4 linked regions of the Tamandua tetradactyla genome follow. The protein of the gene in region 4 purifies or fractionates together with the protein of the main gene of each other region. This does not show direct contact. Links are inferred from orthologs where the notes say so. Each region holds a gene or a part of one and is shown on either strand. Other genes may lie near its edges.

Region 1 (6,875 bases), on a different chromosome or scaffold from region 4:
ACAAATCACAAATTTACAACTTAAACATTAGTTCTCCTCTTCCTATATATTCCTATATACTTTATAATAAAAACCAGCAAATAGCCCATAGCAAATTATACTGCAACCACTGAATGAAGTAATGTGAAGGCATTTAAAACTGTATGAAAAACAGACGGGACTCTTTTAGTTTGTGAAAGCTGCCAGAATGCAATATACCAGAAACGGAATGGCTTTTAAAAAAGGAATTTATCAAGTTGAAGTTCACAATTCTAAGGCCCTGAAACACCAACGAGAGGTTACCTTGATTCAAGAAAGGCTGATGCTGTCCAGAACATCTCTGTCAGCTGGGAGGGCTCAAGGCGACTTTAGCTAGCTTTCTCTCCTCATTTCATAAGGCTTCCCCAGGGGCGTTTTCCTTGTGCATCTCTAAAGATCTCTGTGTTGACTCTAAAGCTTTCTCCAAAATGGTTCCCTCTTATAGGGCTCCAGTAAGCAACCCCACCTTGACCGGGTGGAGACACATCTCCATGGAAACCACCTAATCAAAAGTTATCACCCACAATTGGGTTAGTCACCTCTCCATGGAAACAATCAAAAAGATCCCATCCAGCAATACTGAATGAGGATTGAAGAACTTGCCTTTTCTGGGGTACACAGCAGTCTCAAACTGGCACAGGAGGGAATTCTGTAAGCTATATATGAAGGTATGTATATTTTAACATCTAAAGAACTCGATACTAAATTAGAAAATAGCAAACACAAAAGAAACGGTGGACAGAGGACAGCAGCGAGAATTCACAAATGGCAAAAAAATATGAAATATAAGTTCAAACAAACCAGTAAGAAAATAAAAAACTAAAAGGCACCATTTCTCTTCCATCAAGTTTAGTTTGGGGGCAGATGGAAATAAGGTGTCCAAAGAAGGGGCCCCTTTTCCTAATTCGCACCTGGCTTCGCGTCTTCACACCTCATTCAACTATTGCTCTCTGGCTTCTATCAGCAACTTCTAGAACTCACAGTAATACCAGTGACCAAATCAATAACCTCCAAGTTGCCAAATCCAGCTGGCTGCCTGACAGAAACACTAATAAGAGGCCACTTCTCTATTTCCCAGAAGTTGAACTCCTGGGGCCTGCAGGGTGCCAGTCTCCTGCTTTTCTTCACAGGCGTGCTGGGTCCTTTCACTGCTCAGTCTGTACTCTGTCCCTGTGTGTACAGTCCCACAGCTGTGACTCCATCTATGTACTGATTACGCCCCAATTTTTATCTCCACTCCTAACTTCTCTCTTCCCCAAGTTCCAGACCTCCACATACTGACAACCGCTAACATGCATCTCAAATTTATCACATCTAAAATAAAACTCAAATTTATTTTTCTTCTACTCTTCCCCATTTCAGTAAACAGCATGTCCACCTGGGTCATTCTGAACAAAAAGCAAAGCAGCTGCTACCCATCCCTCCCCTCATACACCAGTCCACCCCTCCCTGTGTCTTGTCTGTGCTCCTGCATCTCACCGCTGTCCACGAACTGCCGCCAGGGGCCTCAGGTGCTCTGCTCCCACCCGGGCCTCCTGTCCACGCCCGGCTTTGCCAGCTCTCTGAGCAGGGCGCGCCTGTCCCTTGCCGAGAGCCACCCACAGCTACTACGCCCCCAGGTAGCACCCCTGGACCATAACAGTCAGTGGCGTTTCCCCTTTTGCTTGTCTGTATTTTTATTTTTCTAAAGTAAATACTTGCTATTTTCTTATTAGGATAGAGAACATGGTATTGCTGGCTACTAAATAATATTACATAACATTTCTACGTTAAGAGAAAAAGGAATGGAAAATTAGGTAAACTTTAATCACAATTCATAGAAAAGAAAGGCATGTGTAAATTCTAGCAGACACATCAAAATGCCAAGAATGGAGAAATCAGGGCTGTGGGATTACTGGGATATGCTCCCTCCTCTACCTTCTATTTTTGATAACACCATTACATTCTGAAAAAGAACAACAGAGACTGTTACAAACTCACTGCCTCCTGCGATCCCACCCAGCAGACTTCTCCCAGGGCTCGCCTTCCCTAACTCCCTGGGTGATCCATCTTTCCAAGTCCTGCTCATCCTCCCAGGGGGACAGGGATGGCAGGGCATGCGACAGGCGGAGAGGAAAGTTCCAGGGCTCTTCTTGGTGGGTCCACAATTTGCTGCTGCTGGGCCAATCTCGTCTCCAGACCCCACCGGACACCAGAATACCATGTCCACCAAGCCCCACAGACACAACCAGTGCCAGGTCCTCCCCAGGGGGATCTCCCAGGGGTTTCTCACCTGGACTGAGGCTCCTGGGACGGACCCTCACCCGGACCCAGGCTCCTGTGGGGACCCTCACCTGGACCCAGGCTCCTGGGGGGACCCTCACCTGGACCCAGGCTCCTGGGGGGAACCCTCACCTGGACCGAGGCTTCTGTGTGACCCTCACCTGGACCAAGGCTCCTGGGGGAACTCTCACCTGCACCCAGGCTCCCAGGGGGGGACCCTCAGCTGCACCCGGGCTCCTGGGAGGAATCCTCACCTAAACCCAGGCTCCTGGGACCCTCACATGGACACGGGCTCCCGGGGGGACCCTCACCCGACACGGGCTCCCGGGGGGACCCTCACCTGACACGGGCTCCCGGGGGTACCCTCACCTGGACCCAGGCTCCTGGCCGGGAGTCCGGCCTCTCTGCCGACATCTTCGCTTCCCCTCAGAGGCCGCCGGCTGGCGGGAGGGTGGGGGGGGGTGGGAGGAGGAGAGCGCGCGCGTACCCGCGCCGCCCCGCCCAGACAATGCCCCGGAGAGCGCGGCGCGCGCCCGGCCGGTGCAGTCCCGCTCCCGCCGACACTCACCCTTTTTCCGGGTTTCCGGCTGAAGCGCAGGCCCCACGGGCGCCGTAAGACGACACGGAAACGGGCAGACGCACACAAGGCACCGCGGGCCACACTCGGCCCGGCGACCCCTCGGACGCTAAGCGATCCCTGGGCTGGGCCCGCCGTTCCGTCCCGCACGTCAGCGGCAGAGGCGCGTCGGGAGCGCGCGCGGCGGCGGCGGGGCGGGACTCGCGGGGCCTGGGCGGGGCTCGCGAGGCGTAGGCGGGGCCTGGGTTGGCACCCTCATTTCTCATTTTCCTCTCTGAAGCCGAACAGCTGGCGAGCCAGCCCAAAGTTTGACAGTTTCTTGGTTCTCTTGACATTTATGAAGTTTCCACAATAACAGCTGGTTTTTTGTGTGTGCCATCTGATGCCACCCTCTGTGCTACATGCTAGGAATACAAATAACTATAGTTAGTTACTAACCCATTTTACAGGTGCAGGATCTGAAGCTCAGAAAGGTTGGGACTTACCCAGGTCACACAACTAGTGAATGACAATCCATCAAATCAATGTCTCTTAAACTCATGCAACCTTCCCTCTCCTTTAGCCTGTACCCCTCTAGCCCACCTTAAGACTGCCCAAGATGGTCACAGACTCCCAGCTGGGCTCCAGGAGTCCATCTCAGCTCCTCCTCAATCCCATCCCCTCACTATTTAAAAATGCATCACTAGAGCTGGGGCGGGGGGGTGGCACTTTATTATTTTTTTATACTTTACATATATAATTCTTTTGGATGTTGCACCAGTTTGAAAACATTATGTACCCCAAAAAGCCATGTTTTAATCCTGATCCAGTCTTATGGGAGCAGCTGTTTCTTTTAATCCTGATTCAATACTGTAGGTTGGAAACTTTTGATTAGGTTATCTCCCCAGAGATGTGTCCTGCCCAAATGTGGTTGTGATCTTTTGATTAGATGGCTATGTGACTCCACCCTTTCCAGGTGGGTCTTGGTTAGTTTACTGAAATCCTTTAAAAGAGGAAACATTTTGGAGAGAGTCAGAAACAACAGAAACCACAGCTTACAGGAACTTAACAGCAGAGCTGACACAGATGCTGACACTTGGAGAACGGAGACGTGGATGTTTGGAGAGGCTTGGAGCCCAGCAGACATTGCTATGAGATGTTAAGCAAGCCAGAACCTGGAGAGAGCCAAGGGAAGCCAGGAAAGGAAAACCAGCCCCAGAGAAGCAAAGTGAGGAATCCCCACAGGAACAGAGGCTGGAAGCAACAGAACCCAGGAGCAAGGGACCAACAGATGCCAGCATGTGACTTCCCAGCTGTCAGAGGTGTTCCGGACACATTGGCTGTGGTAGTTAGATTCAGTTGTCAACTTGGCCAGGTGAAGGTGCCTAGATCTATTGCCGTGGACATGAGCCAATGCCATGTGAACTTCATCTGTTGCTGATTACATCTGCAGTCAGTTAAGAAGCGTGCCTGCTGCAAGGAATGATGTTTGATTTAATTGGCTGGTGCTTAAATGAGAGAGCTCAATGTAGCACAGCCCAAGCAGCTCAGCATACCTCATCTCAGCACTCACAGCTCAGCCCAGGCTTTTGGAGATGCAGAAAGAAATCACCCTGGGGAAAGTTGTTAGAATCCAGGGGCCTGGAGAGAGGACCAGCAGAGATCACCCTGAGCCTTCCCAAGTAAAAAAGAACTTCAGTTGAAAGTTACCTGCCTTTCCTTTGAAGAACTAATGAAATAAATCCCCTATTAATAAAAGCCAAACCATCTCTGGTGTGTTGCATTCCAGCAGCTAGCAAACTAGAACATTGGCCTTCCTTGAGTAAAGGTAACCTCTTCTTGGTGCCTTAATTTGGACATTTTTCACTTCCTTAGAACTGTAAACCTGTAACTAAATTCCCCTTTATTAAAGCTGTTCCAATTCTGGTATATCACTCTCCAGCAGCTTACTAACTAATACAGATGTACTTCATGTTTAATAAAAAACGTTGACGGCCTTACACTTGTATCCCCAATAGCAAACCCACTGCATTTGCTCAAAAAATATGTACTGAATGAATGAACAGGAAGGCCAGGAACTGACTCCGAAGCTGTGTGCTATTTTGGGCCCTGAGAGAATGGAGGATTTTATAATACACCACCCTCAGCCTTCTGAGCTTAAGGTCTATTAGGGACAAAGACAGGTGAAACAATATAGTTTTCTCAACAAAGTTGTATTTGGATTTCTAGTCTCTTGTAGCACTGTGCCAGCACTGTGTTAGGCACTGGGTACGTAGGAGTGAACAAAACAGACCCCTACCCTTGCACAGCTTATAGTCTGATTATCAGGAGGGGAAACCTAGTCTAAACTGCAAGGCCAGTCACATTTAGTCTGGAGTGATCATTACTATTCCTGTTTTATTTATGTATAACCTGATATTTAGAGATAAGAATGAAGCCAATTGGGTCAGGATTAAGGTAATTCAAAATATAGGGGTAAGGAAGAAAAAAAAAACTGCAAGATAAAGAAAGGTCTCCCTGAGGAATGACATTAAGCTAAGATTGAAAGAATAGGAATTGGAGAGACAAAAATAAATGCAATGGAAATAAGAAAGGAGAACCAAAAAAAAACCAGTAAGAAAATAAAAATAATGGAGAAAGAAGTGAGGTCAGTGTTCCAGTTTGCTAAAGCTGCCAGAATGCAATATACCAGAAATGGGTTGGCTTTTACAATAGGGATGTATTAGTTTACAAATTCACAGTTCTAAGGCCATGAAAATGTCTAGATTAGGGCATCCAGAAGAAGGTACCTTCTCTGAGGAAAGGCTACTGGCACCGGGTCTCCTCTGTCACATAGGAAGGCACACGGCCGGTATCTGCTGGTCCCATGCTACAGATTCCATCACTGCCAGCGTCTGAGTCCAGAGGCTTTCTCGCTGAGCTTCTGTGGGCCTTCTCTTAGCATCTCTGGGGTGTTTCTCTCTCTGAGCGCTTTTGGCTTTTCTTCTTTTATCCTCTCATGAAGGGCTCCAGTAAAGGATTAGGACCCACCTTGAATGAGGTGGGTCACATCTCAGCTGAAATAGCCCAATCTAAAGGCCCCACCCACAACAGGTCTGCACCCACAAGAATGGATTAAAAGAACATGGCCTTTTCTGGGGTACATAACAGCTCCAGACTACCACAGTCAGCATGAGGGAGTCAATGTCCCCCCTCCCCACTCTTGGGGTCTCTTCTGAATTGGGGCTTAGAAATACCTAGTCAAGGGCTGGGAAGGCTAGAAGCTCATTCTCCCAGCTCAGCCTGGAAAACTGCCTGATTCGGGGGGAAGTAACACTGAGCAGGGCTCAGGTGCAGACAGCAGCACCTGGGTGGAGAGGCGCCTGCCATAACGCTGCTAGGTCTGCACACTTCAGCAATATGCCAGAAATCCAGTCTATGCTACATGGCTGAGAGCTACAGACAGCCCATGGAAACCCATGTAGTGGTCTAATTGGCGGCGCATGGCTGGAGAATACGGTGGAAGGTCCAAGGATGGACAGTGCCCCTAAAGCAGAGGATGGGGATGGAGGAATTACGATGGATAGGTGGAGCATCAGACCTGGAAGGCACTGAAGCAACAGATCCTGAATGGACAGTCAACAATCTCCCCACCTGATGCCAGCTGAGCAGTGGTGACCAAGAGTGGCCAGGGACATGGTGGCAGGGACAAGTGAAGACCTGGTCTACACTCACACTTCTGCACACCTCTCCAGGCACTGCCTCAAGGCCTCCCCTTGATCCCTTAGGCCCTCTTATGAAGCCTAGGGGAAGAAGAACAGCTCTTAGTTTGCAATTAACTGCCTCAAGATTTAGAGACCAGAAGCCGTAGATCAAGATCTCAGCATACAGGGGCGGGGGCTGGGCAGGAGATGGTCGAGATGGCAGCTTAGCAAGGTGTGGGATTTAGTTCATCCTCCAGAACAGCTACTAAATAACCAGAAACAATGCAGAACAATTCCTGGGGCTACGTCAATGACCGGACACACAGCATACCACCAGGCTGGACCAGCTGGACCGG
Region 2 (7,707 bases), on a different chromosome or scaffold from region 4:
TCTCCCACAGGAGGAGGAGTGAGGAGGTGAGCAGTTTGGAGGGAAACCTTCCCAATTCCTGACAAATCAGTGCCAACCACATTGTGGGCACTGAGAGGGCAGGGCCTGGCTCCACACGTTGGTCTTTTGAGGGTAGAGGGAATTGACCTGTGGAAGTTAGTGCCAGTTTCCCTCACCCCGGCCCAACTGGAGGCAAGATAAAATAGTGCCCCAGCCTCAATTACGCTAATCTCCTGCTCCCCAAAATGTGTGGGTGCAGACAGAGGGGTTTCGATAGCCACTCCCAGATACCGTAGGGAAAAAGGCTCAAAGGAGAGCAGAAGATCTTGGCTACCCACATGTAAAGATGGAAGCCTGGAAGAGAAGACGGCCAAACTGCCAGACCTGCCACCTGCATCTGCTGCACCTAAGCTCAGTTAGAGACTAGGAGCCGGGAGTCGGGGTGCTGCAGTGCCAGGAGCTACTGTGCCCTCACTCCTCTCCTACTGGGATTCCTGACACCTCCCAGTGCTGGGAGAAGGCCCTCCCCATACAGTAGGAAGGAACCAGCTTAGCGACTCTGGAGACCTGCAGGGGAGCCCCGTACCATGAGGCAGGCGGGAAACCCAGGAGCCCAGGAGCCCTGGCGCCTGGCCCAGAGAGTGAGTGAAATACCTCGGAGGGGAGGAAACAGCCCAGAGCCAGGTAGATGCTTGGTGTCCCCAGCAACTCCTAGATGTGACCCATAAGGAGGTGCTGGCCAAAGGCATCAGCTAGAGAAAGTGAATACACTTCTGCTGAACCAGAGGAGAGAAAAAACTGGGGTGGTGGGGATAGGAAGGAGGTGAGGCCAGCCTGACTTCCCTGTCCTCTTGTCCCCATCAGAGTCGACATACTGACATGAAGCCCTTCAAACACCTCGGTGTGTTTCCCCCGTCCCTAATTTCCAGATGCCAGACTTTTGATCCTATACTTCCCAGGGGCCAGGTTGAGGAGTTGGCAGGCTCAAGGTGGCACTCAGGAGGCCTGGGCAGTGCCAGGGGCGGCCCTCACACCATCCTCCCACTGGCTTCCCTCCTGCCAGCTCTCAGCCGCCACACATATCTCAGCTGTCAAATCCGATTAGGGCTCTCGCCCAGTGAGCTGGACACGGAGGCCACAGGACAGGGGAGAGACAGGGACAAGGACTCCGAGCAGGGATGGCAGAAGGCAAGTGAAGACAGGGCTTAGGGGAGAAGGTATGGAGTCCCAGAGGAAGAGAAGGCTGCTGGAGACATCTGTCCTGTCTTGACCACAGGCTCTCTTGTGACAGCCACAATCTACAGTAGGGGAATTCTGTAGCCCCTGGGGCAATAACCCTGCCTGGCTCCTCCATCCCTCAGATAAGCAAGGACAGGGGAAGGAACCTAAAGGCAGAGAGCTTGACCTAGATCTAGGAAGAGGAGCCCATCTGAGAGAAGCCCAGACCATCACTACCATTTACACTGGGCTTTAGGATTTACATTATTTTGTGGGGTCTTTATGGCAGTGTCCAGTCAGGCAGGCAGGGCTTGCTATTGATAGCCACTTTTACAGATGAAGAAAGAGGCTTAGAGAGTGGGGAACCCTGTATAAATGCAAATTGTTAAACATCCGGGCTGAGTCTTAAATTCAGCCCTCTACTTCCAGGCTATTGCTCACACTGAGAATCTCTACTTCCCTCCTCAGGTCAAGAGCTGAACTAAGTCTGAAGCCAGTGCTTTATCTGCCCTGTCCTCCAAGCCCAACCCTCGGGACTCTGGGGAAGCCAAGGAGGAATGCAGAGCACAGCCCACACCTAGACCGCATTACCAGGGGGCATACCACCCACCCCACCCCTACTACACTGAGAACTGCAGGGGTTCTCCCAAAGAGTTCCCACTCTCTTCTATCACCTCCCCATTCTACTATTCCCAGAGGCAATATACAGATTCACAGGCAGTTACTTAGACAAGTCATACACCCGCTCCTGCAAACCTACCGAACCAGAAGAAGATAACTCTGATCTTCAGAAAGCAGGGCCTATCAGTCCACCACGGGAGGGGAAAATAAGCCACTGCAAACAGTAGGTGTCATCTAGCCTCTCCCAGAGGCTGCAGGAGGGTGGGAGCTACAGGGCCTCCCAGCTCTGGGGTAACACCAGGAGCCAGAGTCTCTGAAGCCAAGGCACCCAAGGAACTGGCATGGCTGGGAGGTCTTCCCATCTGGTCCACACCCCCTTCCCCAGCCATATGGGCTGAGTCTGTTCTAGCCTGGGTTATACTCCGGGATCCCTCCCCTTACCATAGCCACCTACATTCAAAGCTTACAGAGCTTACAACCACATGGTCTCTCCTCACATACACACACACCCCAGGTCAGTAGGGATCTTTCCAATGGGTGTTGACATGTTGGCAATGATGAGGGGCTCTAACTGAACTTTCCCTAGAGGGAAAGGCCACCTAAATGCCGACAACCTCCACCACCCTCCAGCAAAGCCTTTGGCCACCCAAGTGTGAGATGAACCTGGAAGACCTCAGTTCCCTCACAAGGTCCCTCCTCCTGCTCCCTCCACTCTCTATCACCCCAACATTTGCCAATTTTCTTGTCTTGGTGAGGGATATTGGGCAATACTGCAAAGGTAGGTGCAAGGGCGTGGGGCCTGGGCAGACCTTCCTCCCACTTTCCAGTTTCAGCTACAGATTGGGGAATGCCTTGGGGAAAATGCAGGAAGGGTGCTGGAGGGTTCAGGGCCTCTGAGCTTTCAGACACCCCGCTGTTCCCAGACTCCCACCTCCCAAGACACAGTGAGCAATGGGGGAGGAGGGATGGGGAAAGCCTGAACTGGCAAGAGGGAAACGGTAAGATCAGAAGCAGAGAGACCTGGGTAGAAAGCAGACAAGGGATAATTGGGAAGGGGTGTGTTTTGTCCTACCTGCTCAGGTGTGTTGGCAGGGGTATGGTGGGGTTCCCAGGAGAACCGGGGAAGCCCTCTCAGCTCGATTCAGGATTCCCCCCTGCTTCTGGTTAGGCTGCTGCAAGAAGCACAGGCTCCCGTTGGGTCCTAAAGTCCACTCCCCTAATGCTAGGATCTCCCCGCCCTCTTCTACCAGCTCTGACTAGGTCAGCAGGTGCAGAGATAAGGAGCTGAGAACCGATGGGAGAGAAATAACACTCTGGAGGAAAGATGGAAGTCTGAGTCACGGTCTAGGGATAGGAAAGGTCTCAAGTCCCAAATACATAGCACATGGATGACTTAGCTGAGGACAGGATATTACGGGAGAGTAGGGAATAAACATTTCTTCTTGACTTCCCTGAAGATGGATTTGGGCTTTAGTGCTAGAGATGGGGTTAAGATCCCTTTTCTTGTTACCCCTACTAAACTGGAGCGACAAGCACTAATCTTTGAAGGGGTGGGGTGCTCATGCCTGCTTCTACCTACTATCCTTCCCTTCACAGATAGAGCAAAGGCTTTCCATCCCTCCCCACTATTTCTAAGGGCCTAAGGAGCCATCTGAGGGGAAATATCTACTTGGTTTTCTGGTAAGTAAAGTGGGCAGGATGACCTGAATTGCAGCTGAAAAAAGATAGAACTTTACATCCTGAGGGTGAGGTGTGTGCATTTGTGTGTGTGGATATAAATACGCATATTCAGGTGAGGGTATGAGCAAGTAGGGCTAGGGGAGAAGGGAGAAAACACTTTCAGCTACATCGGTTGACAGAAATGGCAATTGTAAATATCAGAACAGAATGCAGAACCTAAAAGTCAGCTAGTGCTCTGACCCAGTCCTCAGTAGGGTTCTGGATTTTTACCAGAATGAACAAATTAAAGAAAGGGAAGTTTTCCCCAGATGCCATTTGGGACATAAATGTAAGGCAGAAGAGTTGGTCAGATGAATTACTGACTTACTTTAGGATAGCCAACCTTCTCAGTAGCTCAAAGAGAAAAACTCAGGTTTGGTGGGATAGGTGGGCAAAGAAAGGGGGGGATGGGAAGTCTACAGAGGGGTGGATTGAGAACATTTTGCAAGGAGGGTTGCACATTTCTCTAGCAGCAGAGCAGGGGAAATGTCATGGGGTGAAAGGCCAGGGAAGCCAGGGACAGACTTAAGGGAGGGAGAGAGCATGGCCTTTTCCTAGAAGGGGAAAGGGCAACAGCACTGCCTCCACCTCTGTCTACAAGAAGAACTGGGGAAGGAGCTAGACAGTAAGGATGGAGGGCCCCAGGGTGGAGTCGGTGATGTGAGCTCAGGTCAAGCCTTTCACCCCGAGGTGCCTCAGTTCTCTCCCAGCTGTTAAACAGGACTCTTGGTTCTTCCCAGGCAGAGTTAATGAGTGTTTACAAAAGGGCTTGGAGCTCCTCAGATCTCAGCTGGGCCACCACTAGTTATAAAGCTCAGTAAGGGCTGAGTGTTATTTGGGGAAAGGAGGAGTAAGGGAAGAAGGAAACAGACTACTCTCTTACAAACTGAGGATAAAACCAAGCTGCAGAGAAGCACAAGGCTCATCTGCCACAGGATATCCTTGTGCCCAGGGACGGAGGTCACATACCCCAGAACCTCTAACCACTACCAAAGGCTGGCCTCCAGCTAGCTGGAGGCAGAACCCAGACTAGCAGCTGGTCTTCATTAACTCCAGCTTTTCACCCCCCACCATGAACCCACAGCTTCTACAGGCCTAGGCTAGAGGGGGCTGCCCCAGTCCAACCTTGCAGCTGACTCCAGTGGGGGCACCACAGGAAAGGCCAAATTACCAGCTGAAAAAGAAAGTTGGAGCAAGAGTCCTTTTTCCCATTGGGAGCAAGAAGAGAGGAAGGGAAGTGTGGGGGTGAGAGGGTGGAGGTGGGGGAATTTAGGGCAACAGTAGGCAGTGAAGTCAGCTGGACTGAGGCCCAGAAACCCCTACACCCTGGGGCCAAGTCTTACTCTAGCTTTGCTTTCAAAGCTCATCTTGGCTAGGCCCCAAACTAGAAGGCCCTGGCTGCCCCTTTCTGCTCCCTACCCCCACCCTTATTAAATACACATTTTATCTCTCAGCATCTTCATTATCTTAACTGAAGGAGACAAGCAGTGGATGGCGGCAGCAGAGCATCAAGGGGGTGGGGGGAGGCACGGGGAGCAGGCGCACCCTTGTTATAAAGTGCTGATCTAGCTCTTTCAGGCAGTGTGGGAAACAGAGGCGAGATCAAAGGGAGTGAGGCTGATTCAGAACTCAATTAGAGCTGTTTTAAAAAGGAGCTTGCTTTCTCCTTTCGCCAGTCTTCAGAGAACCTTACCCAGGCCTCTTGTACCCAATTAGCTTCTACTGCCTTAGGGCTGGGGTTAGAAATCAAGGGAAAACCAAAGGGCAGGCCTTCTCCCCTATAGATCTTTAGAGGGAGACCTGGGCTGTTTATGCCTATGATGGCACCTTATTTTTTTGGGGGAGGATGGTGAGATTGACAACTTCTCCAAAGTTAAAAAGCAGGAAAGCAAAGGTGGGTTCCCTCCTAATCCCTTGCCAACTGAAGGCACAGCTTCTGGCCAATCTCCAGTAACACTAGGTGACATCCAGACAGGCACCCCTCTTCCCAGCCTTCAGGTAGGACTCTCTCCTTACAGCAAAATGTCCCTGGAGCAAAATGGAAGTTGCCTCAAGCAAAATGCCACATCAGAGGGACTGAGTGGTAGGCATCTATGAGGCCAATAAATGCCCCACAACTGTGCTAAGACACATCTCATAAGATGGAACACCCTTCGTGTGCAGGGGCCTGCTCAACATCCCAATGCAAAAGCACCCACAATGTTGAACTGTTTAAAAATGGGAAGACAGGCAGCATCTTACTGGGTTCATTTATCCATTTATTCAACAATTATGGATTGATTACCCACCAGGTACCAGATACTGAACTAAGTACTGGGGATAGAGCCAAATGTGAATAAAATCTCCACCTTGGCTCTCTTCTAGGTTTTCCTCAGTTGCAGTCAAGGTAACACCTCTTGAAAAAAATGTTATTTTTTAGTCCCCAAGCTCTACCTCATCTCCACACCCCAGTTCTCATTGGTGTATATTAATATGGCACTCAATAAAAGTAGGTACCAATGGTTGGGGGGGATGGAGTAGGGAATAGGGGTCCACCAACTTTTTTTGGTATCAGAGGTGGCAGCTCAGGCTGAAACTTGCGCCAACTTTATTGTGCCTGATTTTTTCCATGGCAATACCCACCAGCACTCTAAGAAGCTTGTTTTTTTTGGGGGGGGGGGGAATATATACACACACACACACAAATCAGGACATATCCCACCACCTTCAAGAGGAAAAATGTATGTCAGCATCTCTGCCACCACTCCATGTGAAGCAGCCGATGATCCTGGCAAAAACTAGTAACCACAAGCTCAGCCCAGCCCACTAAAAATTTGACCACCTTACTATAGCTCTTAGCTATAGCTAAGTGAGAAAAGCCAGCAAGGAAAGGACTTTCTTCCTCCTCTCAACCTGCTCCCTGGCTGTCTGAATTACACTTAAGACTTTACTGACAAACATACATCGGCTTTTGCTCCCACAAGGGCAGCGGAAGCCAGGCAGGGATTCTAAGTCTGCTTCACGCATCAGTGACAGAACCAACCCTGTTCCAATTGCTGAAGTCTTGAGAGCAGCAATGACCTAGAAATTGAGTGGGGGGAGAACTGAAGGAAAGGAAACCAACAAACCAATACTCAGAAAAACCTATTTCCAAATACCAGGGGAAAGGGAGAGAAAGGAGGTAGAGAGAAATTTGGCTCCTTTGAATCTGCAAATGTGATCTTGGCTGGCAGCCACGGAGGATACATTGCAGCCCCACTGCGAGTCAAGCCATGTTCCTGACTCAAGCCCCACAGTTAAGAGGAAGGCGCCAAGCCTCAAATACAACGAGGTGGGGAGGCTGCTCCTTTTTGGGCAGGATCCTACTGTGGACACAGAACAGACAGCAGCTGCCCACAGTGTGGAAACTAACTGTAAAGCAGTCACGTCTCTTTAGGTTGCAGTATCCAATAAAATGTAATTTAAATCAAGCCTCGCATCTGTTCTCAATCCCATTCAGTCTCTGCTTTCCATCAGCCTTCGGACAATCTTGCAATTATGCTTATTAACCCTTATAACCCCAGATACTTTCCCAACTTCTAGGTATGCAACTGTGCTCCCCGCTCAAATGCTCCATAAAGGAGTGTGAAAATGGTCACAACATGTAGAATCGTATGTCTGAACTATCCTCTCCTACACACACTAGTGGGTAGTGTTCATTTCAGATGGCTCTCTCTGTTCATCCTTCTACCCCATACCACCTGCTGCAGTCCAGATCACATTGCAGGGATACAGCGGGAAGGATGAATGAAACACTGGCCAACAGATCATTTGTACACATATCGAGTTCCCAAACTCAAGCCCAAGTCAGAAAGGCAAAGGCAGGCAGAAGAGCTCAGGGGAATGAGACTTGGTCACTTGTTCTCTGACAGTCATCTCACACATGGTTTACATTTCAAGCTTGAGTTATAAAAATACAGCAATCTCTTAAATAATCAAACTAGAACTATCTTCTGCCTTCCCTCAAAAGAAAAATACCCCAACCCCAAGCCTGACTCTTGAGGCAGCTTGTGTTATAGTGGTGCCCTCTGGTGTCCCAGTCACAAAATGCCATTTAATGCCATTGGGAGATGAATTGAACAAACCCATTAAAGGGGAGCTGTGAGGAACCATATGTATTAATTTATCTAA
Region 3 (7,602 bases), on a different chromosome or scaffold from region 4:
GGGAAGTAAGTCGTGTAGCTATTCAGGGACTGTATTCCAGGCAGAGGGAATAAGCAATGGAAAGACCCTATGGAGAGAGTGTGCCTTCAGTGTTTGAAGAGCAACAGGGCCATTGTGGCTGGAGCAGAGTAAGCAGAGGGTCAAAAGTGGTAGGACATGAGATCAAAGATATAATGGGGTCAGATTACAGCGCCCCTTATGGGCACTTTTAATGACTTTGGTTTAACTCTGAATGAGGCAAAAAAAAAATTTAAGCAAAAAAGTGATATGACTTGACTTTCATATTGAAATGATTATTCTCATCGCTGTTGTAGGAATAGACTTATAATGGGGCAAAGGTGGAAAAGGGGAGATAAAGTTTGCTTACTTATTTTTGAAAGTGAATATGCAGATAATCGCGGTAAATCCAAATGGTGTATAACTTGTTCGTCTTATACTGTTAATGCTGGTTAGTTGAGATTGTACCCTACAGAATCACAGGAGAACTGATAAAGTACAAATTTAGGGATCCCAAAAACAATTGAAGAGGAGTCAGCATTCCATATGCCAGAATCAAAGTTAAGTAGCATATCTGGGCAGAATACTAACTCCATATTCAAACTTCTGCACATCCCTACTAAGAATCCAAAGATGAATCAGGCAGTTTCCTGCCCCCAAGAAGCTTTCAGACATTGTTGAGGAAGATAAATAATAGCAGAGCAACCAGAGTGGTCAGTTCTAGGAAAGAGAAACAGTTTTGGAAAAGAAAAAGCAGAGGTATAGATAGCAATGATTGAGTTGAGTTTTTAAAGTTTTGTATGACAATTTACCAAAATATTGGGGTTAGCAAGTCAGAGATGAATGAAACACTCCTTTTGAGTGATTGTCATGTGACTGAAGAATGTGAATGGGGGTGTGGCAAATGAAGATGAAGAGATGAGTAGGGAACTTCCTTTAAAAGTAATTAGTCTTTGACCTGTACGCGTTTTAAGCAGGACATAATATGAGATACATATTTTGGAAAGACCATTGTGGTGATAATTTGAAGACTCATTTCAGTCAGTGGTTCTCAACCTTGTCTATGTATCATACACCTCTCAGAAAGTTTTTAAAACCCAGATTTCTGGGCCTTGCCTCAGCTTTACAGAATCAGAATTTAGATAGGTAGGCCCCAAGATTTTGATGTGTTGACAATTATGGTGCAGCTAAACCAGCATTTAGAAATATAGCATTAGTGACTATTTCAGTAGTTTGTTTTGTTTATGATTATATTACTAGTCCTTAGCACAGAGCACCCAATAAATGTTAGAGGGACAATAGTCTATTTTCTCTCATGATGTTTTATGAGGTGAGGAATCTTGGCAATTGGCTTATGACTAGGCAGATCTCCTGAGTAGGTATGCAGATTGATTTTACTTTTGGGATCCTCACCATACAAAGAATATCCAGTAAAAGAAGAGTGGCAATTAACAGTTGGCCTACTGGTATTTTAAATATTATCTTATCTGTGGAACATATGTAAAAAAATAATAATTCATAAAATAATTGAACAAAGCTGTTTAGAAATATCCAAAATGGTGAAGATTTACTATGCTAAAATAAGAAATTAAAAAGCAGTGGAAAAAAAGGATTATATTTTTAAAGCTTTTAGGTAACTGTTGAGGGAAAAAAAAATTTAGATTCCAACCTTACATTTCACCAAAATAAACTCCAGGTGGTTTAATGAACTAGACAGAAGTAGAATAAGATATTTTTCAGATCTTTGGAAGAATATTAGAAGACATATCAATGGAAAAGATTAATTTGACTATCAATATTTTTAACTTGTGCAAGATAAAAGAGAAAACAGATTCCAGAAAAAATTAACATCTAATATGACAAATGGCTTATAATATGTGAAGAAATTATTTAGGTTTTTAGATCTTGAGGGATTACCTTTCAGTGTTATGCCACTATCACCAAATTCTGTAGGATAGGACCAGGCCTGCCCTTCCTGCTTATAAAACAATCTCAAAAATCACCTCGCCCAAGGATAATGTGCTGTCATATTATGTACATTAGTTCTAGGAATAGCTCTAGAACATTTTTAATATAAAATAAAATGCTTCAGCTTTTATTCACTAATTTTCTAATACAAGTTAGAAAAACTTTATAAAAGTGAGTATAATCAAAACCAGGATGTTGCTGTGATTACCATACAGCTGTTGAGCAAATGAAACAAACAAGACTGAATTAAAATGTTCAGATGGCTGCTCTGTACAAATTTAAAATAAAGTTTAATGGGAGTATGAGAGGTAGATTGAATTGCCATCCTCTTATCCTCTCCCCACAGTGGTTGGCAATACCCATTAAACATTGCCTTTCTTTGAAGAGATGCTGGACAGCAGAACAGAGAACATGGCTATTACAGGTACCTGTCAATTAGGACTTCGGATTTACAAGGAGATTCCAGGAAAGAGCATGGCCACGAGTCCATCAAATCCTAAATTCCACAGCCAACACCTATAACTTCTTTATGTCCTTGGAAATGTGAAGTGACAAATTTTAAACTTCATAATAAAGAGCAAGACTTATGAATACTTATCTTGGGAATTAGAATGGGTTTCTGGGAGACAGCATAGTGTAGTGTTAATAGCATGAGGTCTTTGGTGCCAAACTGCTTAAATTAGAATAAAGGTTCTGAACACCATTTATTAACTCTAACCTTGAATAACATATATAACATAATGATAACAGTATTTACATCACAGGGCTATTTTAAGGATTAAGTTAACATGAAAATGTTTAGAATACTACCTTGTACATAGCAAGCAACAAGTAGAAGTCTTTGCATTTAAAGCTTTAAGCAAAATGCCTATTAAAGAGTGAACTTGAAAATTTCCTTGGATTTTCTTCAGGCCTGAGGCTAACCAGTACTGTTTAACAACAAGATATAATTTTCACCTATCAGCTTGGTAAAAAATTTTAAAAGAAAAAAAGGTCCATGATCTATAATCTGCTGAGTGCATAGGAAAATGGATGTACATGTTCATGGATTTGCAGAGACACAAGTAGGTACAAACCTTTTTGGAGAGCTAAATGGCATAATTTTTGAATCAAGCATTTCACTTCACAGCATTTATCCTGTAGAAATACTGACACAGTGAAAAAAAAAATTGTACCTTCAAAGCCAGAAAGTTTTTTTCCTCTAAATAAAGAGAATTGAGGGATTTAAAAAAAAAATTATGCCTTAATTGATCAGAAATACATCCAGTCATCTGCTAGCATTTTTTTCCTGCTAACATTTTGAATAAAGTCAGAGATTTACAATCAGGATGAATAAAGTCAGAGATTTACAATCAGGAATGCTGTCAAGCTTTCTGTATATCATAAGTAGACCACAATGACTTGAAATGTCTGCAATTATTTTGTGTTCTTGTTTAGCTATAAAAGAATAGTATACATTCTCTGTAAAATGACTACTGCTTATGAACTTTGCATACAAGATGCTTAATAAGACAGTGGCTCAAAATAGTTTTTCCTATACAAAGTAATTTCAAGATGTAATTGTTACTTTCTTGCTATAGTGCTGTTTTAGTTTCCTTGTTGCTAAAGCAAATAGTGGGATTTATTGACTCCTGGTTTTGAGGCTAAATAAGAGAAGGCTAAATAAAGGCATGTATCATCAAGGTGATGCTTTCTTTCCAAAGACTACATTCTGGGGCTGGCTGCTGGTGATCCTTTGTCACATTAGCAGTGCACGTGGTGGCCTCTCCTGGCCTCTTCCTTCTCTTCTGGGTTCCACTGACTTTCAGTTTCTTGCTTCCCATGATAACCTCATCAAAAGGTCCTACTTAGAATGGGTTCACACTCACTGGAATGGATTAAGTTTACGAACATGTTTTTCTGGTGTGCATACCTCCAAACCCCACCACAAGTACTATATGTTAAATAATAAAAAAAAAATAAATATGTGAAAACTGCAGCACCACAAAGATTCAGTTCTGAAACAGTCATAGAAATGGTTAAGCAAACTATTCAAAAGAGAATTTGGGGTGCATGGGTGGTTCAGTGGTAGAATGCTTGCCTTGCATGTGGGAGACCCAGGTTCAATTCCTGGACAATGAAATAAAAAAGAAAGATTTTGTGTATATTCTTAGCTGATTTGCCCTCTAGTACACTGTGAAATAGCACCTATGCAGACAATTTCGGTAGATTTGTACTTAAAAACAACATAGATGCAATTGATAATTTAGAGTAATACAGTGGCCTTATTTGCATGCTGAAAATCTGCTTGTTTCCTTCTGGTCCACACAACGTTTGTTCCATCTAAGTAGTAGTAAGTAAGCAAATAGCACAGAATTCTTCTCTATGGGTGCTGTAACCCATGGTCTAATAGAAGTAACTTATGTACTTCTGTGGGAGCAAGAGTGATAAACTGGACTGTTCAGATGTAAAAACTCCTAAGAACTTTGGATGCTAAGTTTTAAGCTTAGAAATGTTTAGAATACCACCTTGTACATAGTACACATGTGGAGATTATTAGATAAAAGTTCTTTATTAAACCTTTATTACATGTTCTTTGAATGCTGTAATCTAAAGATTGTTTATGTAATAATGAACATAATGATTTTCATCACCTTCTACGTCTAATTTAGGTTTATCGACTCTTGAAATATCAGATTACTTGTTTCTTGAGGTTTATTTTACTTCCAGAATTCATGTTTACACTCAGATGCTTGTTCTCATAGTCTGCCCTGACTTATATATTGTCCTTTGATGTTTTATGCAACATCATTTCTCTAATAGGGCAATCATTGCTATCTTTAAGGTTCTGGAGAAGGCAAGTATTTCAGAAGGTATGGAGATTTTCTACCACCATGGTTAGCTTAATCAGATATCCTTTAAAAACATGGCAAGTAATATAAAGATACAATTTTTTCTCCAAGTATTTCATTTGGGTAATCATTTGTGGAAGATTGGTTGTGTTGTTCAGAAAAAGAGGGGGTAATAAATGTGATTAAAGTGGCTGATAACATTCTTTTTTATTTTTATTTTTTTGCTGATAATATTCTTAACACCTGAATTAATTGTGGCATTTGAACCTAATATTCAGGTTTATCATCAGTCATTGATCACCATTCTTTTTTGGTGGTTTTGCTTGAACTACATAGGAATCTGTTTGCCACAGCCACTATTGCTTATCACCCATGACTGGGAGGAGGTGGGGATAAAATAGCAACAGCATCCACTAGGGCCAAAAATAGACTGCTGGCTCAAAACCCAGGGTGAATGCCCCAAAGTGAAGAGATTGTCCATTTTAGATCGCATGGTCTGGGGACTTTTCAAACTCTTTCTAGCAACAGAAACCACTCTTCTCTTCCCCCATTGAATATTGTGCAGAATCCTTATTTATGCCTAAGATAGATAAAAGCTCTATTTTATTATTATACACTTTAAAGTTCAAATTTAAAATATTTACTTAAAGTCAATCGATGGGGCAATTCTAATGCACATTAAAATATTATTACAGATTGTTGACATTCTTGTGCTTTCATAGTAGCATAGGCATCTAATTTATCTGTAGTTTTTTAAATTGTACATCATTGAGAAAATCATGATTCACATATATAAGTAGTTACAAATGGTAATGGTTTTATAGCACACCTTAAATCGCAAGATACTCAAGTTAAACTGATCTAGATACTTAAACTGAAATTTTTACATCAGTGTTATTAACAATATGTAACAAGTGTTCACATTCCTTATAAAAGTATAAAAATATAAGCACACAAAGAATAAATGCTAAGATTATATTGTGATTAGTGTCACAATACAACCATTAGGTATTTACTTGTTGTAATATAAGATAACATGAGCATACACTGAAAGCCTGCCTGTTTATTCGAGTGTGTCGTTCCTACGATTGAACCTTGGTAGCTTTGCAAAAGATCATCTGGAGGGAGGAGAGACTTGAGGTGGAGACCAATTATGTACTTCATTCATAGGATGGGAGGAGAATTAAGTGAAATTATGCAGGCAGAGTCCTTAACATACTGTTACGTGCTTAGTAAATGGTACCGGCTGCTTTCAATTTAATAAATTGGCTTAAATAATGGGATTGAGTTGAGGGGTCACAGGAGAGCAGCTGAGTATTTGAGATTGAAGAAATGTTTTCCATTAAGATAAGCATAGTGGAGGAAGAGGAAAGACTTTGGAGTTAAAAAGGCCTGGGTTCAAATCCCTTCTGGTATGTGACTGTGCGAATGCCAAATAAATTCCAGATGAGCCCCAATTTGCTCATATGTAAAAGAGGGATAATATTTAACCTATAGAGCTAGGCACGTAGTAGGTTCTAATCAACAGTTCCTGTTAAGGAAGAATCTAAGTATCATGCCACAACCTTTTCCCCTTCCTTTCGTATACCTGTATTTACTTGGTAGACTGTTGTGCCAGTAATAGATAAGGTGCTGCTGCTTAGTAGACAACCTGAAAACAGTAGTTTATTATAACTGTTAATAAAAATTCCTGTAGCTTATAGTGAGTATTGTTCTTGTGGTAGTGTAGAGGGTGTGTGGGAGTCAAGAAACTGAGCAGATCAGTTTGTTGCTGTAACTGATATGCTTAGCAACTCTTGTGTTCAAGTCATTATGTACAACTGTAGATTGTTCCTCTAGACTTACTCGGGGTTCTGTATTTTGAAACTGCTTATCAGTGGCTATGAAGGTACAGTTTTTGACTAAAATAAAAACTTCCTCTACAATTTGACATGTCAGGGAGGTAACATCTGCTTGAAAAGATTTAAAGCTTGATCATGAACTTCTTGTGTGAGTTCCTTATGTCTGCAGTACTTCAAACATTTGTATAGCTGTGTAAAAGAACATTCATCTGGTAGACAAGTCTCTAGTTACATGGCATCTTCTAATCCAGCTATGGTAACAGAAGAATATAAAAAGTTTTATTCAAACTAAGCCAAACTAACTTACATAAACTTTCCCTTTCAACTTTTCTCTTCTTTTTTGGTTAAGTAGGATTAGTTCTGAACGCAGAAAAGAAAAATCTAGAGATGCAGCCAGATCTCGGCGAAGTAAAGAGTCGGAAGTTTTTTATGAGCTTGCTCATCAGTTGCCTCTTCCCCATAATGTGAGCTCGCATCTTGATAAGGCTTCTGTGATGAGGCTCACCATCAGTTATTTGCGTGTGAGGAAACTTCTGGATGCTGGTGAGTTTTTTAAGAATTTAATAGGCTGAAAATTAGAACTAGAAATTGTTTAGAAGTTGTCAAAATATTTTGTTTTTTGTATACCCCATTATGTTATAACATACTTGAAAAATTTTTCAATAATCGTATTTTATGAAGTTTGCTTTTCTAATCAGTATAGTTAGAAATAATCTCTTTATATTGTAAGTTTTGCTCTATTCCCTTAAAAACACTCTTAGTTCTTCTTTAATATGATATATTTTTTATTACCTGTCTTTAAAGCTTCATTCAGGAATTTTTAAACTACTAGCTTTTTTCTTTTTCATTTTCTTCAGTCTCAGTTACCTACCTGTTTTCTTTTTAATAACGTGACCCTTTCTCTTTTCAGTGGTTTGCCTTGTTGCATTACTTTAAATAATCCTGAAAAGCAGTTGGCAGGTTTA
Region 4 (7,071 bases):
TACCCAAAAGAAGTGGAAAATATGTCTACACGAAAACTTGCACACACATTTTCATAACAGCATTATTCATAACAGCCAAAATTGGAAACAACCCAAATGTTCATCAAGTGGTGAATGGATAAACAAAATGTGTTATATCCATAAAATGGAATATTATTCCATCATAAAAATTATTGAAGTTTGGGGCATGTTTTAATATAGATTTAGACCTTGAAAACATTATATTAAGTGAATGTAGTCAATCACAAAAGAGCACATATTGTATGCATCCATGAAAATGAAATGTCTTGAATAGATGACTCTATAGTCAGAAATTAAATTAGTGGTTGCCAGGGGATGGGGAGAGGGGAGAATTTTTTTTTTTTTTGGCAGGGGAAGGTGATGAAAATATTCTAAAATCAATTGTGATGATTGTATAGTTCAGTGAATATACTAAAAATTATTGATTTGTACAACTTAAAAGGGTGAACTTTATGGTATGCCAATTTCATCTCAGTAAAGCTGTTATATATTTTAAAACAACAACAACCAAAAAAACTGGGGCAAAAAACCTGAATTAGGTTGTAGATGAGGTTCATTCCTGCATCTTTCTCTACTGTTTTGCCTTTCCTGCTTGGCCCGCTCTCCTTCCCCACAACTACTTTTAAGAATTTGCTGTGCATCTTTCTAGATTGTTCTCTTGCTTTTACATTTTATGTGCATTTATTGAACAGATGCTGAACTTGCTCATATGTTAATGAGAGTTTGTCTTTAGCACAAACAGAATTACACTGTGCTGGAGTTAATTCAGTGTTTCTTGGAGCTCTGTGTACGTTATTGCGTTTAAATAAAGGTCATTTTGTAACAGCTGTATAATATTCCATAGGGTGACTATACTACAAATAACCTTCAGTAGTCAGCTTGCTCCCTACAATTCCGTTCCCCAAGTCCATGTTATTTTCTAATTGTGATGTTCTTACCACATTTAGTTTCTATGTATTTTAAAGGCTAAAATACTGTCTTTTCTTTTTCCTTGGTACCCACTTCCTAACAGAGTGCTCTGCCCACAGGAGGAGCTTACTAAATGCTCACAACAGCTTGATTATGAAGGGGCAACAAACCTGTTGAATTCTTTGCCCTTGAAACTTCCCTGCCTTGTACACAGAGCACACTTTCACATAAGGCCTCGAAACCGTGAGACTTCAGTTTAAGACAGTATATCTGCATGCTCTCAGCAGGGATATAATGAGAAATAACGTTCAGTTGATGTCACAAGCTATTCGCTATTCAGACAGTGGTCGTTTTGATAGTAAATTGCTCTGAGTTTGGAAATAATATGCTTCCTGAATTCTGGGGGTGGCTTGAGAGGGGAAGGTAATGGATGGTGAGTTAATATTAAAGGTGGAACCCGTTACGCCCCTATGCTTAATGAAAATGTTCAAACATAGAGGAAAGTTGACATAATTGTATAGCAAACACTCATACACCAACCACCTAGATTCTATCAGTAACTTTTTGCTACTTTTGCTTACTTCTGTCCATCTCCCCATTGGTAGATGCATCAATTCATTTTAATTTTTGATGCATCTCAAAGCTCATTTGTTATCTCAAAGACATCAGGATATTGCACCCCTAAACTTTCAGCATAAATATTATTAACTAGAGTTTTTATGATTAAAATCAAATTTTGGAGGTAACATTTACATCCAGTGGAACGTACCATTCCATAAGTTTTACAGATGTCTACACAGCGTAATCGAAACTTCAATCAAGATATTTCTCAGCATATTAGTTTTCTAGGGCAGGTGTAACAAAATGCCACAAACTATATATGTAAAAACAGCAGAAATTTATTGTCTGAAATGAAGGTGTCAGCAGGACATGTTCCCTTGGAAACCTGGAGTGGAGCATTTTTCCTTGCCTCTGGCATCTGGTGGTTTGCTGCTGGCAATCTTTGGCATTCCATGGCTTGCACCAGCAGCACTTCAATCTCTGCTTCTGTGGGCACATGGTGTTTTCCCCTGTATCTGTCTGTTCCTGTGTCCGAATTTCCTTCTTCTTATTGGGCACCAGCCATATTGGTTCAAAGCCCACCCTAACCTAGGGTGGCCTCATCTTAGGTAATCAAGTCTTCAAAGACTATTTCCAAATCAGGAGGTAGGGGTTAGAACCTGAGCATATCTTTAGGTGGGACACAATTCAATTCATAATACTTCATTCATTCATTCATTCTTGGGAATTCTGACAGATCTGCTAATATCATGGGAGTTTGACCCGGAATCACAGCTTTTAAGACTCCCATCCTGCTTTGGTGAGTAAGAATGGGAAAAAAAACCCCAAATCTGCAAAACACCCCAGCAAAGCCACAAGAGAGTAACAGTGGTAAAGTGAAGCACATCAAACCAAGAAAGGAGGAATTGAACTAACTCTCCTGATGGAACCTGATAAGTCGGCCATTTCAGACCTTTACACTGGGCTCAAGTTGGGAGAGGATATTTCCTTTGGTCCTTTCTGACACCACTTTATGTGTCTATACTTCTTCGTAGTTCCACTTTTATATATCACTCTGTATTAAAAGTTGAAGGAATATGGGAAATCTGGGTAAATGACAGAGAAAATTAACTGGGATGGGGAAGGGAACATTTCCCGGCGAAATCTGTTTCTTAAGAGGTCTCTGGCCTTCTGCGGGATTGGGTGAGAGCTAGAAGGCACGCGAAGAATCTGATTATAAGCACATCATGTCCCAAGTTGTACATCATAACATTTGTCCTCCAAAATTAGGGCACTAGTGAAGGGCGCTGAGAAGTAGTGCTTGACTTTTAAGAACTGCTTTTGAGAGGCCGACCGGGCATAAATTTGAAACGCAAAACTGAAATGTTCGCTCCACATTCCTAAACACCACCCTCACAGCCATCAGCGCAAAAACAGTTGAAAACGCCGAGTCAGTTAAAAAAAAAAAAGTTCCAGGCCAAAATAAACACTCATCTTGGATGCTGCGTAAATTTTTTTTTCTCGGTTACTAGGCATGCCGGTGATATCACATTTGAAACTGTGGAAAATTTTTAAAAAGAAAAGAGCAAGGGGTTATAACCCCGACATGCAAAGGTAAGCCCTGATAACGTTTTTAAAACTTTGATTCAAACTTCTCCTCCTGCCCATGTTTTTAATTTTGACAGTGTTTTTTAGGCAATCGTTCTTTTAACAGCCAGCATTAAAAAAAAAAATTACAGAAAATAATTGCTCGGCAATCTTTTCCCTCCTCTGGCGGGTTTCACCCAGAAACTACAAGAAAGCCTTTTTAATTACTTTTTTTTTCTTTTGATAGAAACGTGTTTAAAAAAGATTAGCAGATACCATCACGTCTTTATTTTTGGTGAATTAGCAACAAAGAAAAGGATTAGCATGGACGGGTACTTTTCAAAAATAATTTTTTTTTTCCCTCTGGCTCCCGCTAGGGTGGAGGAAGTTGTCTCGGCTCCGAGAGAGGGTAGAGAGAGTGGAAGGACAAATGACTGGGACGCCCCCTTCTCCCGCTCCAGGCTCGGAAACGCGGGGGTCGCCTGGGGAGCTGCGAAGAGGGAGGCAGCCAGCAGGTGCCTGGGCTCCAGCCCCCTACACCCCTCCTCAACCCCACGCCCGCCCCCACCCCGAGCTTGGCCTCGCCTCCAGGCGGGCGAGCGCTATAGGTGTCGAGGCGTGGGGGTGGGGGGCGCAAACCCCGCGGGGAGCAGAAAAGAGACCCAAGGGGTCCTCCCGGCACCGGCACACAACGAGAGTTTCGCATCCCCCTCACCCTGCTGGCACACAGCCCCAGCCCTCCACACGGGGAGCACGTCCGAGGCCAGCGAGCCGAGCAGAGCCCCGGGGAGGAGAGCCGGGGGAGGGCGTGTGCAGTGGCAGCAGCAGCGGCGGCAGCGGAGCCGCTAGTCCCCTCCCTCCTGGGGGAGCAGCTGCCGCCGCCGCCGCCGCCGCCACCACCGTCAGCGCGCGGGCCGAGGCCGGAGCGAGCCGGGCAAGCGGCGCGCGCGCGGGGGAGGGCGGGGGCGGGGAGGGGGGTGGGAGAAGGGGGCGGGAGGGCGTGGGGGGAGGGTCTCGCTCTCCCGGCGACCAGAGCCCGAGAGGGAGACCCTGGCGGCGGCGGCGCCTGACGCTCGGCGCCTCCTGCCGTGCTCCTGGGCGGCATGTCCGAGGCTGGCGGGGCCGGACCGGGCGGCGGCGGGGCAGGAGCCGGGGCAGGGGCCGGGGCAGGGGCCGGGCCCGGGGCCCTGCCCCCGCAGCCCCCCGCGCCGCCGCAGGGCTCTCCGTGTGCCGCCGCCGCCGGGGGCTCGGGCGCCTGCGGACCGGCGACGGCAGTGGCGGCGGCGGGCACGGCCGAAGGACCAGGAGGCGGCGGCTCGGCCCGGATCGCTGTGAAGAAGGCGCAGCTGCGCTCTGCTCCACGGGCCAAAAAACTGGAGAAACTCGGAGTCTACTCCGCCTGCAAGGTACCAGCTCGCCGCTCGCGGACCGCGGCTGGGGGCGAAGGGCCCAGCTCTGTGGGGCCCCCGCCCTCTCCCCCTCCCCCTCCCCTCCGCCCCCGCCTCCCGCCTACCGCCTGGGGCCGCTGCACCGCGGAAGTGCTGCTGCCGCCCGCGCCCAGTTAGCTCCTTTTCGGATAAGAGTCCCGTTGGGTTGGAAGAAGGGGAATCACCAAGTCGGAGAACCCGTTCCCCACTCCCTACCCCCTCCTCGGATAGAATACCCTTTGCATTCGCGCTCCGGGGCTGCCCTGGGGCTTCGCTGCTCTATAGGAGCTCGCCGGAGGCGTCTGCTAGGGAGTGGAGCCCTGTTCACGGTGTGGCAGGACGCCCCAGGGTCAGGAAAACATCTCTGGGATCTGAGTGACTCGCTTGCGCCCGGTGCCCCACTGGGAGGGGTTGGGTGCAAAGAGTGAGGGTGGAAAAGACTCTCGGATTCCTTGCTCTGAGAGAGAGAGAGAGAGAGAGAGAGAGAAGGGGCAGGACGCGCAGGGTGGGGAGGTGGACACTGCCCGAGGCGAGGGTCCCTGGAGCGCCTGGAGCCCTCGGCTGGGGGCGGAGGTACTGCAGCGCGCCGTGACAACCTTGTCATTATTGTATTATTACTTATTTAGTTAAAACGCTGTCCTAACTGCTCGGGGTGTAAATAGGACTTGACAAGGTGACAGCCCAGCACTGTGGGCACTGCTACTCAGTTTGAGGATACACGTTTCTTTCCATCCTGTTCTCCATCCCAGCTATCGGTGGCCCCTGGGCCCTCAGCTGAAGACCCAGATGTAGGTGCTGCGCGCCTAGGGTGGGAGGATTGCCCAAGGCCGAGGGGCAGGCTGGCCCTGCACTGTCAGCAGAGGCTTTGTTTTGACAGGGTGACAGCTGAGGGGGGCGGAGACTTGGCCTTGTCAGCCTCTGCGGCCTGTGGCTGAGGCGGGGAAGACTCTTGCACACACTCAATCACCTCCCGTGCACGTATTCTTCCCGTCTGCTTGTAAACAGGGTCAAGTTCCCAGATTTCAGATGGCCACAAGAACTCTGCAGTGACCGCTTCTGAGTTTTGGTGTAAAGGTTATCAATACTGCTAGAATTCCTGGACTGTCTTGGTCCTGCTGTTTTTAGTATTTCCAGGAGTTTCTCCACCTCAATGGAATGACTGTGCTTGCCCTTTTCCCAGACCATTCATCTCTTTGTGTATATATTGAGCATTTGCTGTGAACCTTACACAGGTTCAATAAATATTTGTTGAATGAATGTAGGATCCAGTGCAGTGCTTCTCAAACTTTAATGTACATAGGAATCTCCTGAGAATCTATTAAAATACTGATTCTGAATCAGCTGAGATTCTGCATTTCTAACGAACTCCTATGTGATCCTTTACTGGTCCACAGACCACACTGCAAGTGGAAAAGACCCAGGTTCAGCCTTGACAATGTATCTTAGTCGTTTATAATTCAGCTGAGAAAATTAAAACTATGAAATAGTAATGTGACATGATATTTCTGAAGAAGAAATGTGAAAATGTTAAAGTAGGGAACATCCTTCTAAAAAGGAGAAAGGCTAGGAGTTGGTTATAAAGGGCATTAGACCAATCAGAGTGAGACCTTCAGTGTAGTAGGCAGAATGGAGTGTTGTGCACAGAATCTAGAATAAGTTCAATTACTTGGTGAATTTGTGTTTTGCATTGTCTCATGTAGGGACTGTGTCAAGCTCTGTGTTTCTGTTCTGGTTTTGTATTGGGTTCCCATCTTGAACACCACTTCTCCCCACTGCCTGCTGTCACCTTATTATCTAACAATTCCCTGAAATTTTGAGTTCTTTCTAAAACCATGGGCATATGTGCCCTGCATTGATATTTTTGATCGATCCAAATTTTCACGCATGAGATGTAACCTAAAGGTTGTGGTTTGAGTATTTCGTGTTCCCACTCACCTCTACCACACTTACAAGAAGAAAAAACATCTACAATTCTCCTTAAAACCTTAAAGGCTTCTTGTCCTGCTCCTGGAAAACTCTGAAAGCTTCAACTTTTATTTGCCCATTTATTCAATAAATATTTAGAGAGGTCCCACTGGGTGCCAGATACTATGCTAGAAGCTAGACTGTGATACTCAGAGTCTGTCCTTCTTGAGGTACTGGTCACTCATGTGTGCAAGTGTGTGTTGGAGGTGGACTGTAAAGCAATTACAATAAAGTTCAGAAAAACTGTTTTACAAAATTGATGAGGGAAGCCAGAGCTGGGCAGTTCACGAGATAGAGCCTGAAGAGGATGGAGATGGCTTAGAGAAAGTGCCAGTGGGTGCTAAGGACACTTGGCTGCTCAGGGTAGTAAGGTAGCGTGAAGCTTCTTGTAATGGAGCAACCGAAAACAGTTCTGAAAGGTAGAAAACAGTTCTGAAAGGTAGGCGCTGGGTCAGCAGGAGCTAGCACTCCATTGACCTGGCTGCGAGGGTGGGAAGTTATGGTCATGAGGGCACTGAGGAATGGGGAGAGTGGCATCATCAAATTTGCTTTCTTTTCTTTTTTTTAATACTGGGCTTGGTTGGGTGTGAGTTGGTTTGAGACATCAGAACCTATGGTTCTT

What was found.
Region 1: the proteins of KAT2B (region 4) and YEATS2 purify together in Homo sapiens (affinity purification with mass spectrometry; 3 studies listed by BioGRID, with this or other methods). This does not show direct contact. The link is inferred for Tamandua tetradactyla from reciprocal best matches to the Homo sapiens genes KAT2B and YEATS2.
Region 2: the proteins of KAT2B (region 4) and RARA purify together in Homo sapiens (affinity purification with western blotting; 3 studies listed by BioGRID). This does not show direct contact. The link is inferred for Tamandua tetradactyla from reciprocal best matches to the Homo sapiens genes KAT2B and RARA.
Region 3: the proteins of KAT2B (region 4) and HIF1A purify together in Homo sapiens (affinity purification with western blotting; 4 studies listed by BioGRID and IntAct, with this or other methods). This does not show direct contact. The link is inferred for Tamandua tetradactyla from reciprocal best matches to the Homo sapiens genes KAT2B and HIF1A.

Annotation. Positions count from the first base shown.
Region 1 is NC_135328.1:124,425,969-124,432,843, forward strand, and holds the start of YEATS2 (YEATS domain-containing protein 2), read right to left. Parts: upstream 3,020-6,875; 5' UTR 2,849-3,019; intron 2,728-2,848; exon of another isoform or gene 2,650-2,727; intron 2,587-2,649; exon of another isoform or gene 2,352-2,586; intron 1-2,351. UniProt on the Homo sapiens protein: Chromatin reader component of the ATAC complex, a complex with histone acetyltransferase activity on histones H3 and H4. YEATS2 specifically recognizes and binds histone H3 crotonylated at 'Lys-27' (H3K27cr).
Region 2 is NC_135332.1:27,028,837-27,036,543, forward strand, and holds the start of RARA (retinoic acid receptor alpha), read right to left. Parts: upstream 3,019-7,707; 5' UTR 2,912-3,018; intron 1-2,911. UniProt on the Homo sapiens protein: Receptor for retinoic acid. Retinoic acid receptors bind as heterodimers to their target response elements in response to their ligands, all-trans or 9-cis retinoic acid, and regulate gene expression in various biological processes.
Region 3 is NC_135338.1:3,074,129-3,081,730, reverse strand, and holds the start of HIF1A (hypoxia-inducible factor 1-alpha), read left to right. Parts: upstream 1-4,585; 5' UTR 4,586-5,949; coding exon 5,950-6,035; intron 6,036-6,986; coding exon of another isoform or gene 6,987-6,989; coding exon 6,990-7,180; intron 7,181-7,602.
Region 4 is NC_135341.1:68,209,430-68,216,500, reverse strand, and holds the start of KAT2B (histone acetyltransferase KAT2B), read left to right. Parts: upstream 1-4,066; 5' UTR 4,067-4,160; coding exon 4,161-4,463; intron 4,464-7,071. UniProt on the Homo sapiens protein: Functions as a histone acetyltransferase (HAT) to promote transcriptional activation. Has significant histone acetyltransferase activity with core histones (H3 and H4), and also with nucleosome core particles.